Schizosaccharomyces pombe: one gene and its partners. Changing the gene in region 4 together with the main gene of any one other region gives a genetic interaction. Each region holds a gene or a part of one and is shown on either strand. Other genes may lie near its edges.

Evidence for each region.
Region 1: mutations in irs4 (region 4) and arv1 together harm fitness more than expected from each alone (negative genetic interaction), as found in Schizosaccharomyces pombe (one large-scale study listed by BioGRID).
Region 2: mutations in irs4 (region 4) and ypt71 together harm fitness more than expected from each alone (negative genetic interaction), as found in Schizosaccharomyces pombe (one large-scale study listed by BioGRID).
Region 3: mutations in irs4 (region 4) and uck2 together harm fitness more than expected from each alone (negative genetic interaction), as found in Schizosaccharomyces pombe (one large-scale study listed by BioGRID).

What each region holds. Positions count from the first base shown.
Region 1 is NC_003424.3:1,890,503-1,894,365, forward strand, and holds arv1 (Arv1-like family protein Arv1), read left to right. Parts: upstream 1-2,041; 5' UTR 2,042-2,051; coding exon 2,052-2,138; exon of another isoform or gene 2,139-2,423; coding exon 2,424-2,558; exon of another isoform or gene 2,559-2,613; coding exon 2,614-3,192; 3' UTR 3,193-3,344; downstream 3,345-3,863. Other genes in the region: pof15 (F-box protein), read left to right, coding at 418-1,149. UniProt on the Schizosaccharomyces pombe protein: Mediator of sterol homeostasis involved in sterol uptake, trafficking and distribution into membranes. Also regulates the sphingolipid metabolism.
Region 2 is NC_003424.3:1,880,198-1,883,929, reverse strand, and holds ypt71 (GTPase Ypt71), read left to right. Parts: upstream 1-1,982; 5' UTR 1,983-2,019; coding exon 2,020-2,100; exon of another isoform or gene 2,101-2,451; coding exon 2,452-2,550; exon of another isoform or gene 2,551-2,604; coding exon 2,605-3,051; 3' UTR 3,052-3,232; downstream 3,233-3,732. Other genes in the region: glutamyl--tRNA (Glu) ligase Mse1, read left to right, coding at 1-1,459; antiparallel microtubule cross-linking factor Ase1, read right to left, coding at 3,326-3,732. UniProt on the Schizosaccharomyces pombe protein: Ypt/Rab-type GTPases are key regulators of membrane trafficking and intracellular vesicular transport.
Region 3 is NC_003424.3:1,838,640-1,841,784, reverse strand, and holds uck2 (uracil phosphoribosyltransferase), read right to left. Parts: upstream 1,165-3,145; coding exon 502-1,164; downstream 1-501. Other genes in the region: protein toe1, read right to left, coding at 1,492-2,815, 2,933-3,145.
Region 4 is NC_003424.3:912,941-920,283, forward strand, and holds irs4 (ENTH/VHS domain protein), read left to right. Parts: upstream 1-2,021; 5' UTR 2,022-2,151; coding exon 2,152-6,291; 3' UTR 6,292-6,835; downstream 6,836-7,343. Other genes in the region: SPOM_SPAC1687.07 (uncharacterized protein), read left to right, coding at 717-1,091; SPOM_SPAC1687.08 (uncharacterized protein), read left to right, coding at 1,388-1,678; protein mcp1, read left to right, coding at 7,033-7,343.

The DNA of each region.
Region 1 (3,863 bases), 980 kb from region 4:
TCTCCTTTCATCTATTCTGCAGAAACCAAGGCTTGTATTGTGAGACGTAAAGCGTTCAATTGCAAGGTTTCCCCATTGCTAGTCTCGTTGACAGTCATTCCTTGGCTTTAGAAAAAGAAGTTTGCTTATTTACTTTTTTCACTAATTTTGGAATTCCGTCTTTTTGAGCTACTTGTTTGTTTAGACATTTTAATTCTTTAATTGTTTACAATTTACTGTCTTTTTTCCTTCATAATAGAAACGCATATCGAGGTTTGAATAGGTCGAAATAGAAATATTTTGTTTTGTTAATCGTCCATCATCTCATTTCATTCACATTCCATCGATCGGTGCTATATTCTCTTTATTTATTCAGCTTAATTGCCCGATTTTTTTTTTAAATTATTTCTTACCTTTTTTTTTTTGGTTTGGTAAAAAATGAGCTGTGTTACTAGAGCCCCCATGTCTGTACCCCAGACTGCCCTTCAACCTAATTCCTACGTTAATTTCGACGCTCAACAAACATCTTCTACTCTGCTTCCAGTAGAAGTCATTGACTCGGTCATGCAGTATTTACCTGCACACGACGTTATCCAGTCTAGCTTCGCCAGTTATCCATTGACTTTGATTGCCAACAAGATCATTCGTGCTCGTCTTTCCTTCTTAGACGAATATTCACTTCGCGTTTTTGCAAAGGATGTCTATACCGATTCACCGATTTGCAACTTGTCTGCCCGTCGCGGTTTGTATTCTTTACAATATGATGGTTATTCGGTATTCCACTTGGATCCTAACAATTGCTCCTCTATTTTTCAAATCTCCTTTGAGGACGACGAGGATCTAGCTTCTTTTGAACGATACCCTGGGGAGTTTCTTGCTCCCCATATCAATGTTCGAATTCACGTTACCTTGTCTCGTTCTTCCTGCGATCGTCATCAAGCCGATATATTTTCTTGCTTTCAAGATCCTATTCGTGTCCGCCGGGATTGGCTTGATTCGATAAAACCCGGTCAACCTGAAACACTTTGGTTTGATCAAAACACTCAACATGTCATCGGTCTAATTGTTACAAGAGTTGATGCTGCTCCTGGAAAGTATGATCTTTCTGTTACATCTGTTATTGTTCAAACGGAGTACCTTTTATCTTGCCTCGAGAAAAGAGTACATTAAAAAAGAACTTTTTCCATTCTGCATTGTTTAATATTCTATTATTTAATTCTCATGAGACAATCATGATTGCGTTCCGTTTTCTTTTAATGTTTATTTTCGTTGCTTGACAAGCCTGTGTCGCTCACGACTTCTTTGTTTGACATTTTGTACTTATTATTCTTTTAATTAAAAATTTAATTTACCTGTGATGTATGTTTTGCTGTGTTAATACATCCTGGTTTCTCATTTAATAAATGCGTTTATACATTTTACGCAGTCGACTGGTTTTTTTTTTCAGCGTTGTTTTAATTTCATTCAGCATTTGGCTTCATGTACAAAATTTATTTCTTAACATTTTTTTTCTAATAAACTTTTTTTTGTTGTACTGAAAAGTAAAAACCTACCTTTTTTTAAATTGCTCAATCAATTGAATGTTGTTTTCACGTTTCTCATTTCTACGAATATTTTAGCCTTTGTAAAATCTTTTTAATAGACGCTTAATCTTGTAAATGTGACTAAGTCTATACTACGTTCTTTCGCTCCAGTCAGTCTGCATTGTTTTGAGAGTTAGTGATTTTATGCTGGAATCGACGTGGTTATTTCGCAAATCTTTTAAATATGTAGTGAAAGCAGTATTTGTTTATATTATTGAAGAACTGTAAAATTTAGGTTTGACATTGGTGGTTTTTTGGCTTTACAACTCGTCTGTTAACGGAATTGGGTAGTGTTCAAATAAAATTTAAAATTGGTAGAACTCTGGGATAAGTTTTAGTATTTATGTTTCTATGCAAATAAAGATAAGCTTACTTGTTTCATTTTTTCTTTAAATTCTATATATCTTCATTGTTTTTACATGTCAACCAAGAATACGAATGTTTGGTTCATAAACATACCTCAATACATTGACACCACCACCCGTCACCATGAAATGCGTCGAATGCGGCGCGGAAGTCGATTCTTTATACACATATTATGGAAGGGGTACCAGTAATATTCGACTAGCTCAATGCGTAAGTAATATACACACAATATGTTTCGTTGATGTAGTCAACTTGATCGTAAGGAGCTAAGGGCAAGTCCATTCCAACGGCGACGAAAAGAAGCTTCATGAATATTTTTCTCTTCAAATATAATTTACATTATTGTAAGCAAATGACGATCATTCAATTTTTGTCTCCATTTATCTTGCTTAATGAATACTGAGAGTGGAATGCGTAGTCTTGCTGTAATCGTTAAGATCGACTTGTTCTTTAGTTTTTTTTAAGTACAATTTCAAACTAACGACTATGTTACAGAAAAACTGCAAACAGTTTGCGGACAAATACATTGAATTAGATGTTGTTCTCATCAGCATGGATGTAATTTTGATGAAACCGCAAGTTTACCGTCATCTTTTGTTTAATTCTCTGTCGGCACGAACATTTCGTAACGTAAGTATTTTATTCATTTCAATGGCTTTTTAAATAGCTGACAAAATGCGCAAAGGTTGTCAATTTCTGCATATTAATTTCCCTTTTCAACGTTTTTTTAGTTTGGTCACGACTAGAAAAACGCGCAGCCCTCTTCCCCTACTTCACACCTGCCCAAGCATTTCTCTCCCAGCCAATTATCCGGCAGTACTTGACTTTACTGCTAATATGTTTGGTTGAGACAACTGTGTATCAAATTTCAGTAGTTCTGTTATTATGCCTAACAATGGGTTGGAAATCTTGGACTTCTGCGTCTGGCGCTGTAATACTTTCTTCTAGCACAAGAATGCTACCCGTTTTCATGGTAATTTGGGACTACGACCTTTCTATAGCGGCAACCGTCGTAGAATGGGTAGTTTTGTTTAGCAATGTGGATGCGCTATGTATATTAACTGGAAGCCGGCGGTATTTTAAAATTGGCTTAATCGTTCTTTTTGCCAGTCTCGTGAGATCTATTGTCGTTTATATTTTTTTACATTTAACAGGACTTTCACAGATTCAACCATCAACTCCTTGTGATGGGTTTCAGCATTTTGTAAATCTATTATGTGTATACTTTCGTTCAATCACTTTAACTGCGCAAACTGCAGTATAATGACAAAAGGAAATGGGAAACAATACGGCATCGACATAGTGTATCAGTTATTAAAAGTTTTTATATCACCCGTTTTAAGAAACTGGTCAATTATTAGTTCTTTAATAAGTTGTTGATATTTAAAAAATATGAATTTGATGAACCAATTGAAACCGAAGCCAGTAATCATATTTCCTAATCTTGTAATATGAAACTTGAAATGGTCTAAATAAAAATAATAATTACACCCTCAAAGCATATAGATATGTAATAGATACAATTATATAGAGGAAACACTGCAAGGAAATAAAAAAGGCAAAAAACTGAAAAAAGTAAAACTATTTTGCTGAGCATAACTAAACAAATGATCATTCGAAGATATTTTTCTTACCAGTGGAATTTGTTGCATTTTTTTAATAACAAAGTTCAGAGGTTTGCTTTTGCTGTCGCTAAAGAACCCATCACAATTTTATCAGCTACGATATTTTTTAAATATTTAATCAATATATGTATATAAGTCTTTGTTCATTATACATTTGTTTAGTTATAGAAGCAACCAGGTCAGCTAACACCGTCTTAGCTCGTAATGTAAAATAAACTCATAGTAAGCGAATGAATATTTCAGTAAGTTTTAAATGAAATAAAAATTAGAAAGTAAGTAATTTATAGAACTGTAAGCAAATGCAATCAGA
Region 2 (3,732 bases), 970 kb from region 4:
TCCTACAGGGTTCTTGCATCTTGGATCTCTAAGAACAGCTTTATTTAATTACTTGTGGGCCAAGAAATCGAACGGGAAATTTATTTTGCGCCTAGAAGACACTGATCAAAAGCGAAAAGTAACGGGTTCAGACTTGGAGATTTATAAAGTACTAAAGCAGTTCAATCTTCAATGGGATGAAGGACCAATCGTCGGTGGTCCCTATGGTCCTTATGAACAGTCGAGCCGTTTACAAATTTACCAAAAGTATGCTCAGCACTTAATAGAAACTGGGAGAGCCTATGTATCTTATTCGGTCCCTATCGCTACTACCAAAATTGATTCATCTACAAAATATCATGAAATATCAATTGATGACTTGACTGATGCTCAAAGAAAGCTTTATAAATCTAAAAAATTCCCTTACGTTGTTCGATTCCGAATGAAGGAACCTTCACCATTCACTGATTTGGTGTATGGAAAAATTGCAATAAAATCAGATTCCAGAGAAATAGAGGAATCTAATAATTTTGTAATTTTAAAATCTGATGGATTTCCCACATACCATTTTGCCAATGTCGTTGACGATCATTTAATGCATATCACTCACGTTATTAGAGGAGAGGAATGGGTACCATCTACGATTAAGCATATACAACTTTATGAAGCATTTGGATGGAAACCTCCCAAATTTGCTCATCTTCCACTTTTAGTCAACCCTGACGGGTCAAAGCTCAGTAAGCGACAAAATGATGCACATGTATCTAGTCTTCTTCAAGAAGGGTTTCTTCCTGAAGCAATTCTTAATTTTATTGCCTTAATGGGCTGGTCTTCGCGTCAGAAAAGTGATTTTCTCCCGATGAAAGAACTTATCGATCTGTTTTCGATCGATAAACTAACAAAGAGCTCCTCAATTGTTGCCTTTGAAAAGCTTTACTTTTTAAACAAAAATTACCTGAGGAGAGCGATATCAGATGTTAACAGACTCGATGAGCTTATCGAACTGGTTCAGCCGAGGTTGATCCAAAAGTTTTCTCATTCTTCTAGAAGTCATGACAAAAGTTACACTAAAAAACTCTTGCTACTTTTAAAAAATAAAGTGCACACGATTAAGGAGTTTGAGAAGATAGTGTTCTATTTTTATGAGGCATCTGACCTTCAACAAATTAGAAGTTTAGTTTCCTCCCTCATCACGGTAGAAGAGCTTCCAAAAATTTTAACAACAATTTTAAACAAGTTCGAAACCATCGAATGGAATACTCATGAGATACAGATTAGTTTAAAAGAAATTGCCATGGAGCATCAGATGCCTTTGAAAAAAATACAGTCTTTACTTCGATATGGCTTATGTGGAAATCTGCCTGGAGGAGGTATTAGCGATACTATTAGTTTATTGGGGAAGGAAACAGTAAAATCCCGTTTGGAGCGTTTACTATTATCACTAAAGCATGAATTACCCAAAAGAAGTTGTATCGTATAATTCTAACTAACCAGATACAATCGTTTTTTCTTTGATACTTTTGATGCAGAGAATATAATAGCATTTTTATCAATCGTATATCTACAATGCGTTTTACGGAAAGGAACTTTATGCACAAATATAAATTCTCATTAGATTAGCTACAAAAAAAAGCAAGTAGCATCATTCAACAAATTTGTTGTAAGCAGTAAATGTTCAATAACTTTCAAAGTGAAATATAAAATCAAATTCACTGATTTTCTTTATGTAAAAGCAAATTATTAGTTTGCTTACAGTACTAGTTGACTTCCCAGGATAGTAGTCAGATAACTAGATCCTTCACTGTAATGTCTATTGAAAGCAAATGTATCTTATTAAAAACTTAGTGAGTTATTCGTTTTCGTTAAATATTGTTATAAAAATTTACGGTAAAGATTCGTATTTAAAACAACGCTATGCAACGAAGTATTGTAATGCTACTTACTGTAATGTGTCAAACTGAAAGACACTATCAATGCTGTCCCAGATGGACATTCTAAGGGCTGAACTTCTTACTACCAGGTACGACAGAATATACTTCAATGTCGGCTCAGAAAAGGGTGTTTTTAAAGGTTGTTATATTAGGAGATAGTGGCGTTGGAAAAACATGTTTAATGAATCAGGTATGTTAATGCTAGGGGAGTTGCTGATGTGGTCGACGTATCGTACAGACGAGCTTTTTTAAGCATTACCCTCGAATTCAACCATTGATGGTGTAGTGGTTATCAATTGAAGCGTTAAATTTTATACGTTCAGTATATTTTTCTTTTTGGTTTTTGTATTGAGCTGTAAAATCCAATACTGCAATTTCCCATTGATTTTATGTCGATAAGTTGTTATTTGTCGCTACAAGGTGATTGCTTTTAAAATTTATTCACTTTGTTATTAAATACTAGCTCAAATATGGTTAACGATCTTTACATCAGCTTCTCTATGAGTATTGCTTTGGCAATTTGTTAACATCGTCATTTTAGTTCGTCAATCAAAAGTTTAGTCGCGAATATAAAGCTACCATCGGTGCTGATTTTTTAACCAAGGACGTTGTGGTTGACGACAAATTGGTCACATTACAGGTAAGTTCCAATATAAGTTCCGCCCATCTAAATTCGTTTGCTAATTATAAACAGCTTTGGGATACTGCTGGTCAAGAACGATTTCAAAGCCTGGGAATGGCTTTTTACAGAGGGGCCGATTGTTGTGTAATTGTTTATAATGTGAATAACTCGAAGTCTTTTGACTCAGTAGAAAACTGGAGGCAAGAATTTTTATATCAAACTTCACAAGATGAATGTGCATTCCCTTTCATTATCGTTGGAAATCAAATCGACAAAGACGCGTCTAAACGAGCCGTATCTCTTCATCGAGCTCTTGACTATTGCAAATCCAAACATGGATCAAATATGATTCATTTTGAAGCTAGTGCAAAAGAAAATACAAACGTTACTGACCTTTTCGAAACAGTCAGTCGTTTAGCTTTAGAAAATGAAAGCTCGAGAGATGACTTTGTTAATGACTTCTCTGAACCTTTGCTTCTTTCAAAGCCTTTGAATAATACATCTTCTTGTAATTGCTAGATATTCACACGCTCTCTCAGATTCTTTTACATTTCAAAATGTGCTATACGTTTTCTTTTCATAATATTTTTTTACATTGCTATTTTAACAAAACTATGGTTACTTTCTGTTCTTAATTCTTCTCTTTTCCCTCTATTGATACACGTTTTTTTTTAGGTGTAAATAGTCTTTTAATTATGACCTCAGTTAATAAACTTTTATGAATTATCTATATGCTGTATTCATATGCAAAAATATGTATATTTAAATTTGATCGATTAGGTAAATAAGAAGCTTAAAAGCCTTCTTCTCCCCATTCATCCTCCATCGGTGTACAATTTGTAATATTGTTGAGTGGAGCAGAAAAAATGTTGGTAGTGGGGGACGGTGATGATGGAATTGTCTTTACGGGTGATGCTCTTATGGGGGATATCTTCATAGGAGAAAAAGGAAGGTTCTGCGAGCTGTTTTCAATGTCCATCTCGGGTGTTTGTTCTTTCAGATTAGTTCTTTGCAATTTTTCCGACATAATATTTAAAGCGTGTTCATTAACTACACGCTGCTTTGGAGGACTTAATGGGACGTTCTTAGATGAAGCCTTTGAATACGTTTCATGAGGAGTTCGAGAGTAATTTGGGTGCGGTGACTTGGATTCAAAATGTGTATTGCGAGATACAGAATTTGGAAACTTGTTAAAAGGGG
Region 3 (3,145 bases), 930 kb from region 4:
GTGTATTAATAGGTTATGCATATTTGTTGCGTTTAGACAGTAAGCGTATTCATATTACACTAAATAAAGCTGTTTATCTACTAAAGGGATGACTTCAAAAGTAAGTAAGCGACATATCTTTATTATGGTAATAGTTACAGAAGTAACATAGGATGTTCTATAAAAATCAAACATCAAATGGAAATAACACGCCTTATTGAACACAGAATGTTGGAAAACAGAGATTAAAGATTACTGAAATAACTCGTGAAAAAATGGATGTAAAATTATGTTTATTAATTAAAGGTTTGTCGAATGTCACGGTATGGACTTGAGTATAATAAATTAAATAAATCGCGAGGATATGCAGTGTACAGGGCTTTGATGAAATAGATGTTACAATTGATTATATCTAAGGTTAATATATCGAAATGAACGAGAACGAATAAAAATTAGGGTAATTAAAATACAATGAATGGATCAGAAAGAGATATACACTGATGAGATGAAAGATCAACGATTCTAGCAAGTGCCAAAGTAGCGGTCACCGAAATCACCGCATCCAGGAACAACGTATTTATTAGCATTCAATTCGGGATCAATAGACGCTGTAACCATTCTAAGCTTGGGAAACTTAGCAAAGACATTAGTAATCCCCTCATTGCATGCAATGAGATTAACAAACACAATGTTTTCTTCTGGGATCCCCTTGTTGATCAGAGTTTGAATGGCGAGAATTACAGAATTTCCCGTAGCCAATAAGGGATCTAGCAACAAAACCAAACGATCCTGTGCATCCTTGGGTAACTTGCAGAACATCAATTTAGCTTCAAACGTAGTTTCATCTCTTTGCACCAATAACTTGCCGACGGGAACTGAGTAGTTGCAAGCAGCGGCCAATCCATATTCCATACTCTCTCCAGCTCTTAAAATGCTGACGCCGCATATATCTCTAGCTGGTTGGACGCCAGTATAGGTGCCGCCGGAACTAGTCTTTATTAAGCATTTCTTATAAGGTAAAGCACTCAATGCTTCTTGCATTAGCATGTTGATAATGAGATTGGCTGTGCGCACAAACTCTGAATGGCCGGTTTGCTGATCGCGAAGAATAGTCATCAATGATAACAAGTACATGGTCTGACGGAGAACCACGACATTCTCGGGCTGTTCAAGAGGAATGGACATATTGGATGGAAATTTTAATTTAACAAAACGATTCAATTCAAAAAAAAACTGAAATTCGATAAGAAAAGGTTGATGTAACAAAAGGAATTTTTTACAAAATTCGTAAGATAGAGGTAAGTTCGTAAACAGTCAAATGTGGAAACTTTTTTCTCTATTCAGGGCCAAGAATTCTTCCTTTATATCTTTTAGATCGCCAGTTTTTAGTTTTTTTCAGACACTTTACAGCCGATTTTCAACCGCGGAATTTCCGACCGTCTTTGATTAAGCTATTGCGGAACAACCGCGCTATCGCACCGAGGCACAAACGCGGGCTCTATGGGGCAAAGATTAGCCACGTTCCACAGTAGCGACTCCAAGGTTGTACGGTTTAAGAGCTTGTAACGTAGTGCTTGAAACAGGTCGCAGTGGTCCTTTAAACCAGGTGCTTTCAGCAGTGCCTTCATTAACGGTTTTTTGATATTCCTTCAGGTAATTAGCAAACTTTGTAGCCAAATGATATTGGTCGACACTGATAACAAGCAACCATTTCCATATTTTAGTTACAAGGTCATTCAAAACTTTAGGCTGGACGATAGAAGTGTCTACCTCCTTTGTTTTTGCAGCGTAAATCAATCGCAGTAAACTTGCAGATGCAAAACCCGCGTGAAACAAGACATGATCGGAGCAACGAGACATATCGTAAGCTGACAATTCAAAAATTGCATCAATTGTTTTTAGCGCATAACTTTGCACCATGCTAACATACCGCGGTATGTTCGCAAAGTCATTACCATCCGTAGCTGTTTGGATGCTGGCCTCGTAAACGACATTGTAGGAATAAAAATAGGCAATCCGAGAATATTGCGGCTCGGGTTGTTCCCAAAGATGACACCATTCCTTGCGCCATTCTTCAAGCTGAAATATTGCATAATCCAAATCGAGGGTAGGGGATCGCAGCATTCTGTATAGCATGGAGTATACAGAGAGCATTCCCAAAATGTTTCCGTCAAATTCATTAGCCTTAGTATTTGTTAATATATTACGACAATCATCAAAAGTATTTTCATCCAACATAGCATGACGACGATATCCCATGCACATAACCAAATGACCATGGCAGAGGTGATTCCACGTTCTTGCGGGAACGATATCGAGATAAGTTAGTGTAGCGCTAGATCCCGCAAAACCGTTGAACCATCCCTTGGTGCTCGAAAGCGTTCTGTGTTGCAAAGCAAACCCGCTGAGGAGCCAGAGATCTTGTTTTTGGGAAAGCCGAAGCGGTCGATAAAGGGTTAGCATAGATACAGCCTCGAAAAACTGTAGGGAAGGTGAAGTAGTGAGCAATTCCTCTGAGATAAGGCGGTCCACGATGTTTAGTACGTCCGTGTAAATCCTAGCTTTCAGAGAGGGATTGTGTCTTAAAGCAATGAGACAAGCGGTTGCAAGCATCAAATGTGATTTTGTGTATAGTAGTTCCATGTACTGGGAAGCACTGTAGTCGACAGAGAGCCAGCGCTTACCATAGCGCTCTATAAAAATTTCCAAGAGCAATTCGATTTCATCCATGGAGAGTAAACCCTGGAGGAAAACGTCTTTTTCGGATTTGAGGGAAATCTGGCCTGCAATAGGAGAATTTGTGATAGAACTGATGGCCTTCTCCAATACCTTGAGTCTATAATAAGCAGTTTAGTAAATTTGTTAGTTTGAAAGATGGTATTACAACAACAAGACTACAGTAAGAGGAATGGGTTTTTAAAAAGTCTTAAGAATAAAACAAATATATTCATACCTGTTTTCTAGTTTTGAGTTGATATTCGCGCTAATAGCATCCATATTGTCATTTTCCACTTTTCGTATAAAGTGATTTGGATCAGCCAAGCTACAATCCATGTTCAAAGAGCGGCATCTTAAGCACGCGCGGTTTTCATCCTCAACAGAACCTGCCAGGCATCTCGTTTTTTGCTTACGGCAAGAGTCGCACGCTTCAAGAGCACGTTTCCTT
Region 4 (7,343 bases):
AATTAAAAAGGAAAGTGGATTTATCGAATCATCAGGCAAATTCGTGTTTCGCGAGTTTTTACATATCAAGAAATTTACGTTACTTATAATTGATGGTTAGTTAATCGTTTATTGCTTCATTAATTTACATCTGCTTCGTATCTTGAATGGAATGTTCTTGCTATGTTAACCATCTCGGATCGAGCAATTTAATTACTGTATATACGAAATTACAATTATTAAGTTAGAAATCATTTAAATAACTGAGAAGTATTGACTTTGTGTCTTTGCTGCGCACTGAATAAAGTGATTTGGTAAGCCTCACTTACTGACCTATCTCATCATCTACCTACCTAAAGAATCTTCATAATTAGCACAACTAGTCGTTCAATTGGTTTTCAATCTCTTTAATTTCATTATATTTTGCAAAATCAAGTACTTGCGTAATCGTTTATGGTCAGTATTTGATTTTGAGCGCATACCCCTAGCCTTAAGTTTTTTTTTTTGTTTTACTACTTGTGGTCATTAACCCGACGAAACTCTGCATGTTGTTTTAACCATACAATAATTTCCTTTTTTACTATCATATCAAATTCGCTATTATCAAGAAAATCCATATTAACGAGTCAGGTCGACTTGAAATTAGACTGTTTGGACTTCTCCTTCTAAACGGAATACGTTAACATTATTATTTTCAAGTGTTTTACTTATCTAAATATTTGTCTTTATAGCCGAATATGGCAAGTTTTCATATAATCGTTTCTTATGTCACTGTTGTTTTGGCTATAATTATCGCCATTACATTTGCTGCTAGAAGATTTTGGATATCTCGCTATCGAAGTATCAGATATTCACCTGTTGAAAATTCTTTTGAAGCAGATTTCAACAATGGGCTTAACTCCAGTTCATTTGATATCGCCCAAAATATTCTAGCTCAGGACACTCGGGCCGGCCTGGACGAAGCCGCTACTTCACAAATTCGTGGATTGATGAAACAGCTTCAGTGCTCATTTGATCAGGCAAGACTCATCTATATCCGTAAAGTCATGAGTGACAACAACGTTGACTCTACCGGCATGCCACTTGACAATAAAGCTGTTACAAAACTTTAAATGTCATTAAGCAACAACTGAAATCAGAAAATTACGCAAAGTCCTAAAAAATCTTAGTTAGTGTCTCCGAAAATATCTCAAAATCTTCATCGGCGGCCGGAATTTATTTTTTATTTATTTTTCCAGAATGGTATGTTAACTCATGGATACGAAAACATGTGGATACCGATTTATTTCGTTAGTTATGGAAACGAAATATAACATTGTCATAAGCTTTCTCAAACTTTTTACGATTCATGGACTTCCAAATCTTCAATTACTGCTAACGCTATCAATAATTCTTAAGAATTAATGAAATGTTTATCTTCAATGTTCTGACGATCCGCTGTACTTTCCATGTTCTATTTGCTATATGTTACTTTTGTGATCATTTGCTGCAATATATCAGCAATTCTCGAGATAGTAAGGCTGGTCTAAAAATTTTTTTAGTATTCGAACTAGCTGTTACTATTTTCAATACGGTAATGCTTCAATTAGCTAACCGTGTAAAAAACGGGCTCACCCTTGCAATATTGATTGTCTCTGTTGTAATGTTTGTGTATCATCAACAGCTAATAGTTAATTGCAAAAAGATGCTAGCCTTATAATTATTTGCTTTTCAAATTCCTTGAAGAGTAAAATTTTGAAGAAATATTTTGTTTTATCATGTTTGATAATGATCAAAGTGAAATTTCGTTTATTGTTTAGTTTATTATTGATACTTTAAGAGTCAGTAAGCTTATTAAAAGAGAGGTAACATTGTTTTTGAAACTGCGTAAGCAATATACGGGGCAGCAAGGAAGAGTGACAAAACTGGTGAAAAGTTTTAAGGTAATTGTTTAGCGCAGTACTCAGAGTCATTTAGCAATGCGTCATCTGGTATGTAACCCGCAAGGAAAAATCACATGTATGCTACTTCCATCAGTGCAGTCGTTTTGTAACCTTCTTTCTACAATTCATAACACACAACCTCTTTCTTTTTTTTGAACAATCTGTGAGGGTCTTATCGATTTAGACAGCATTTCGCCTCCTTCATTCATTATTTATTATATTCCCTGATGTAGAACAAGAAGGCCTTGCGATGGACGCGATTCATCCCGTATCTTTACGAAATAGTAAAAGACATCCATTACTGCATTCTGAAAGAAACCTCAGCCGCCGTGCAGTTTCTCCAAGCATAAGCAGATCATTTTTTCAGCATTCTAATGGATCCTTTCCCCTATTTCAGAACCACAGAAAGAGCTTACCTTCCGCTATATATAAATCCGTAGATCCATATGTTGATGCCAACCCACTAGATCCCTTAGCTGCTGCCAAAGCGAGTTTTGCGGATTTTCCTGAACAAGATGATTCTCAAAGTTCCACTAGTCCTTTATCCTCGAAGTATCACACCAAAAAGAATAAGCAAATTTTTGTCGAGGATTCAAGAAGAGGCGGGGCGGCTTCGAACGCGGCTGCCATTGCGGCTAAAAAGAGTGGTTATTATGAACGTACATCAACTAGAAAACGGTCGTTGACCGTTCCAACACCTCGTACATCTTTTCCGCATCATCCTCGAAGTCGACGATTTTCATTAAAGAATGCCGCAATTGCCACTTCTTACCACAAATTCAAACCTCTTTCATCCAATTCACTTTCTTCTTCCGGTATGCATTTTTCCGCTAGTAAACAGGCCTTCAACTCTCCTTTACTACAGACTTTCAGTCCTTCCCCTTCTGTATCTCCATTTTCGAATCCAGCCGTAGAGAAATTGAAAACCAGTGCGAGCAAGCAAGCGGCTGAAGCACAATCTTTAAGAGAGTTTGATTTTTTCACTCCTACTCCTGAACCCTCAGATAAGAATTTGGAAAAGCTGAAAAATGGTGCCAGTAAACAAGCTAGCGAATCCCAATCTCTCAAAAACATGGAATCACTTTCATTAGCAAGATCTTCACCAATCCTTACTTCAGAAAAGTTAAAAAATGGAGCTAGTAAGCAGGCTATTGAATCTCCACCTTTCAGAGCTTCGGAACCACTACCTTCATCAAATATTATACCGAATCCTGCTATGGAAAGGTTAAAAAATGGAGCTAGCAAACTAGCTATTGAGTCCCAACCATTTAAATCAGCGGAACCGTTATCTTCAGCAATTCCACTTCCCAATCCTATGTCCGAAAAGATGAGAAATGGCGCCAGCAAACAGGCTATTATGGCCCAAAGCTCAAAAATCAATCCCTTACCGCCACTAACAGCTTCAATTTCAGACCCGTCTTTTGAGAAATTAAAGAACACTGCTAGTAAACAGGCCATTGAATCTCAATCTCTAATGAATAGTGGCCCTGAACTTTTAGAGCCGTCGATTTCAGACCCAATGTTAGAGAAAATGAAGACTGATGCTGGTAAACAGACTGTTGAATCTCTGTCGTTGAAGAGTTCTGACGCTACAATTCCAAAACCATCAGTATCAGATCTTGGGGTAGAAAAACTTAAAAATGATGCTAGTAAATGTGCTGTCGAGTCTCAGTCCTTAATGATTAATGATCCCTCTGTTTCTTCAACCTCATTTTATAACCCAAATATGGAAAAACTGAAAAACGGTGCCATCAAGCAAGCTATTGAGCACCAAGCTTTAAATGCTGCCATTTTGAATAAGACACAATTACCTTATTTTCATCAATCATCTTCCGAACTACCAATATCTGCTAGCAAACGGGCTGCATTGTCTCAACAAACAGAGTCGGCCTCAAAGTCATCTAGTAATATCTCTGAAATGTGTGATTCACATCCTCCTTCTAACTTTTCAATCTCTGCTAGCCAGCAAGCTAGCAAGGACCGTTTTTCGGAGGCTACTTCTTCTATCGATTTGGATCTGAGTCCTGGTAGAAGTCTCTCTTTGGCTTCTAGTAAGCTTTCTGTGAAAGAAGCTGGTGCTCGCGTTTATAATAGAAGCGTTGCTACTCCAGTAATGACGCCGTCCAACCCATTCGAAATTTCCAAATCAGCAAGTCAGTTAGCGAGTATAGCTCAAGTACCTGTTTCCGAACCCGCAAAGACTTCAGAAGTGAACCTTAAAAAAAGCCTTTCCTTAGCTTCTAGTAAACTTTCTTTTCAGGAAGCTGGTACCTCCCTTAAAGAGAAGACTGCAAATGTTCAACATTCCCCGGAAGTTTTGAATGACCGCTCTTTGGCGTCACTTTCTGCTAGTCGGCATGCTGATGCCATATCTTCGAAAAGCAAACAACATACTGAAATCGCGCAGCCAGCATTTAATACGACTGGAACTGTGCTAATGAAGACAAAATCAAACCTTTCAGATTCTGCGTTAAGCACACCACAACATTCTGATTCGGTGCTTTTCGATATTACTTCTAAGGCTGCAAGGCTCGCTTCTACTTGTGCTAAGACAGATCTACACAGGAAACCAAGGAGAAAACATAAATCATTTACCCTTGAGAATTATTTTGGGCATAATGCTGAAGACGAAAGCCCTCAATCTGACGAGGTTGAAAGTCAAACGCCCCCTTCAGGATATTCTGAAAACGATATCGGCGGAACGGACATATACCCTTTTGCTTTACAAGGAGCTGCTTTGGCTGCCGCGAAAGACTTTTCAAGACGTGAAGCCTCCTTAAGTGATAGCCAATCCGCTGCTTCTATGGATATGTTGCCTATGAAGAAGAAATTGTCCCATTCATCTGCATCTTCTACCCGTTCTATTAAATCGTTATTAACTAATGCTAACCAAAAGCATATTCATTCCTCTATAAATGAAACTGATGATATTCCTACAATGGCCGCTCATATTGTTGCAACTGGTCAGAAAAATAAAGAAAAAGCACCTTCTTTTTCTAATGATCAGGCCCTTGATCACTTGCTTGGGTCTGCTCATAAACGAATTCCTTCTAATAAAACGGAATGGTCGTCGTCATCATTGCACATTCCTTCGCATAATTCTTTTTCTGACATCCATCATAGGAAAATAGCTGCTCATGCTGCAGCCATTACGGCTGCTTCCGAAAAACTTACACCCTCCATAGAAGAAACGTCGTATTCTTCGTCCAAGGCCCATGATGCGTCTTTGAGTGCTGCCACTCTAGTTGCAAATAAGGATAAACTCATTCACGCACCTACCCCTCAAGTCCTGGCTCCTGTGCTGCCAAAAGTTTCACTTCCTCATCGTCATTCAGTTTCACTTGGTCAAATTCGAGGAGAATCTGAAGTTGAAGGAGATGTTTTTTATGATGCTCCTTCAGATAAAGAAGACCTTGGATCTTCAAACGCTCCTTTAGATGTACCACATGGTGCTAATCGTAGCAGCATGGATGAAGTTAACGGTTCAAAATACGATTACAGTGATGGAATACTTGATGGCTCAGGTCAGTATACTGATAGTGATATGTCCGATGACGAGAACTCTCTCAAAGATTCGCAAAGTTCGGTTTTAAGCTTTTCAGCTGTTCCCACAAAAGTATTGAAATTTAAGTTGCGTGATGTATTGGGTTCTGAGTATTCTCCATCTCCACAACTGCTTGCCTCTTCAAGTGATGTTTCAGGCTCATCGTCAGCAGTACGCGCAGCTATGAAAGCAGACAAAATCTTTCCAGCTGTTCATGAAAACCCACCTCCTTTAAAAACGAAGCAATCAATTGCCAAACCTTCACCTCATACATTGCGAGTTCCTCAGAAAAAGCATAAACATTTTTACCATCGTGATGACGGAAAATACAAGAGTGGAACCAATTTGCGTAAATCCGAAACTGTTGATCTCCCGCAGTTCTTTATTGATGAAAATCGTAGAAAGCTCTATGAAGGGTTGTGGGCTGCTAATAAAGGTTATTTACTGAGCAAATCAGAATATTCCAAACCGAATGATTTGATTTGCAATATTGTTGTCCGCGAACTCTGGTCTCGTAGTGGTGCTCCAACGAGTGTTTTAGCCAAAATTTACGATCTCGTTGATAGACATCACACAGGTGTCTTGGGGCGTGATGAATTTATTGTCGGTATGTTTCTGATCGATCAATATTTGAAAGGCCGCAAGTTACCGTTGAAGGTACCAGACTCTGTATGGCTAAGCAGCAAGCGTATGGGGGATATGCTTTGGCGATTAGAAAAACTGCAGAAAAAGACAGATAATAAAAAACCTTTCTTCAAAAAAAAGAAGAAAAAGAGAAAACATTTGAAAAAGTTTTTCGACTTTAATACAACAGCAAAGGTGAACGAGGGCGCGATGACTGACTAGAGAAATCAACATCGGGTCCTCTTTTTTTTAACGGGAAATATCTTTAAGCTTATCAACATTTATTAAAAAATGGCATTTCGGTATTACTTCATTAAGGTCTTTTCATTTGAAACACTCCGTTGTGAACCTGTTTTCGTAAAGCTTTCGCTATTTTTGCGAACCACGTTTTCAATCAGTTGTTAGTTTGCTTTTGTTAATCGTTAATGATAGTACTTTCTGATCTATTTAAGCTGTCGATTGTTTTACTCAATTTGCAGATATTTCACAACCGAAGCGACCTTTTTAAGCGAAAAGAAGGACTTTATTTTTACATCATAACTTTTCATTTTGCAAAACTTTTATTATTCATTTTTACATTTTTTTATGCATTACCCTTTTTATTACTTGATTAATTACTGAAGCATAGGTTAGATTTACGCTTAACGAATTCCTTGGATACCATTTGCTTGTTTGTTATAAAATTTTTCAAGTATTATTTATATCCTTTAATTAGCATTTTTTAACTATAATAAGCCAACACAAAGGTTTAGCAATTAAAACTAGCCAAAATACTGTTCGATGTAGATTTTTTTTTTAAAAAGACATGACTTCTTTATTAAACAATCTTGCTAGTATGAACTTGTCCCAATCCATAATGTGTTGTGACTCACTTTCGATCCTTAAGTTTAGAGGTAAATAAACCAAGTTCTCCAAGGCCATGATGCCGAACTTCTGTTTTTAATGTTAAAATCATAAGATATTATGGAGTTAGCTAAAATTGGAGACAGGCTTAACAATTATTACAATAATATTTATACACTTTCCGAAAAACTTGGGTATTCGTTTACAAAGATCAGTTTTAACAATATCATCTTGGACGCTTTGTCAGGACACCAAAGAAAATTGGAGATCAAAATTATAAATATTGAGTCAAAATGCAATGAATTATCTTCTGAGATATCTCTTTTAAGAAAAAGACTGGGCATCATCGAAGAAATCGAAATACCGCGCACTCTAATTGACCAATATGAATGCCTGGTAACTTACCATAATGGTATTCGAGCAATCTATAA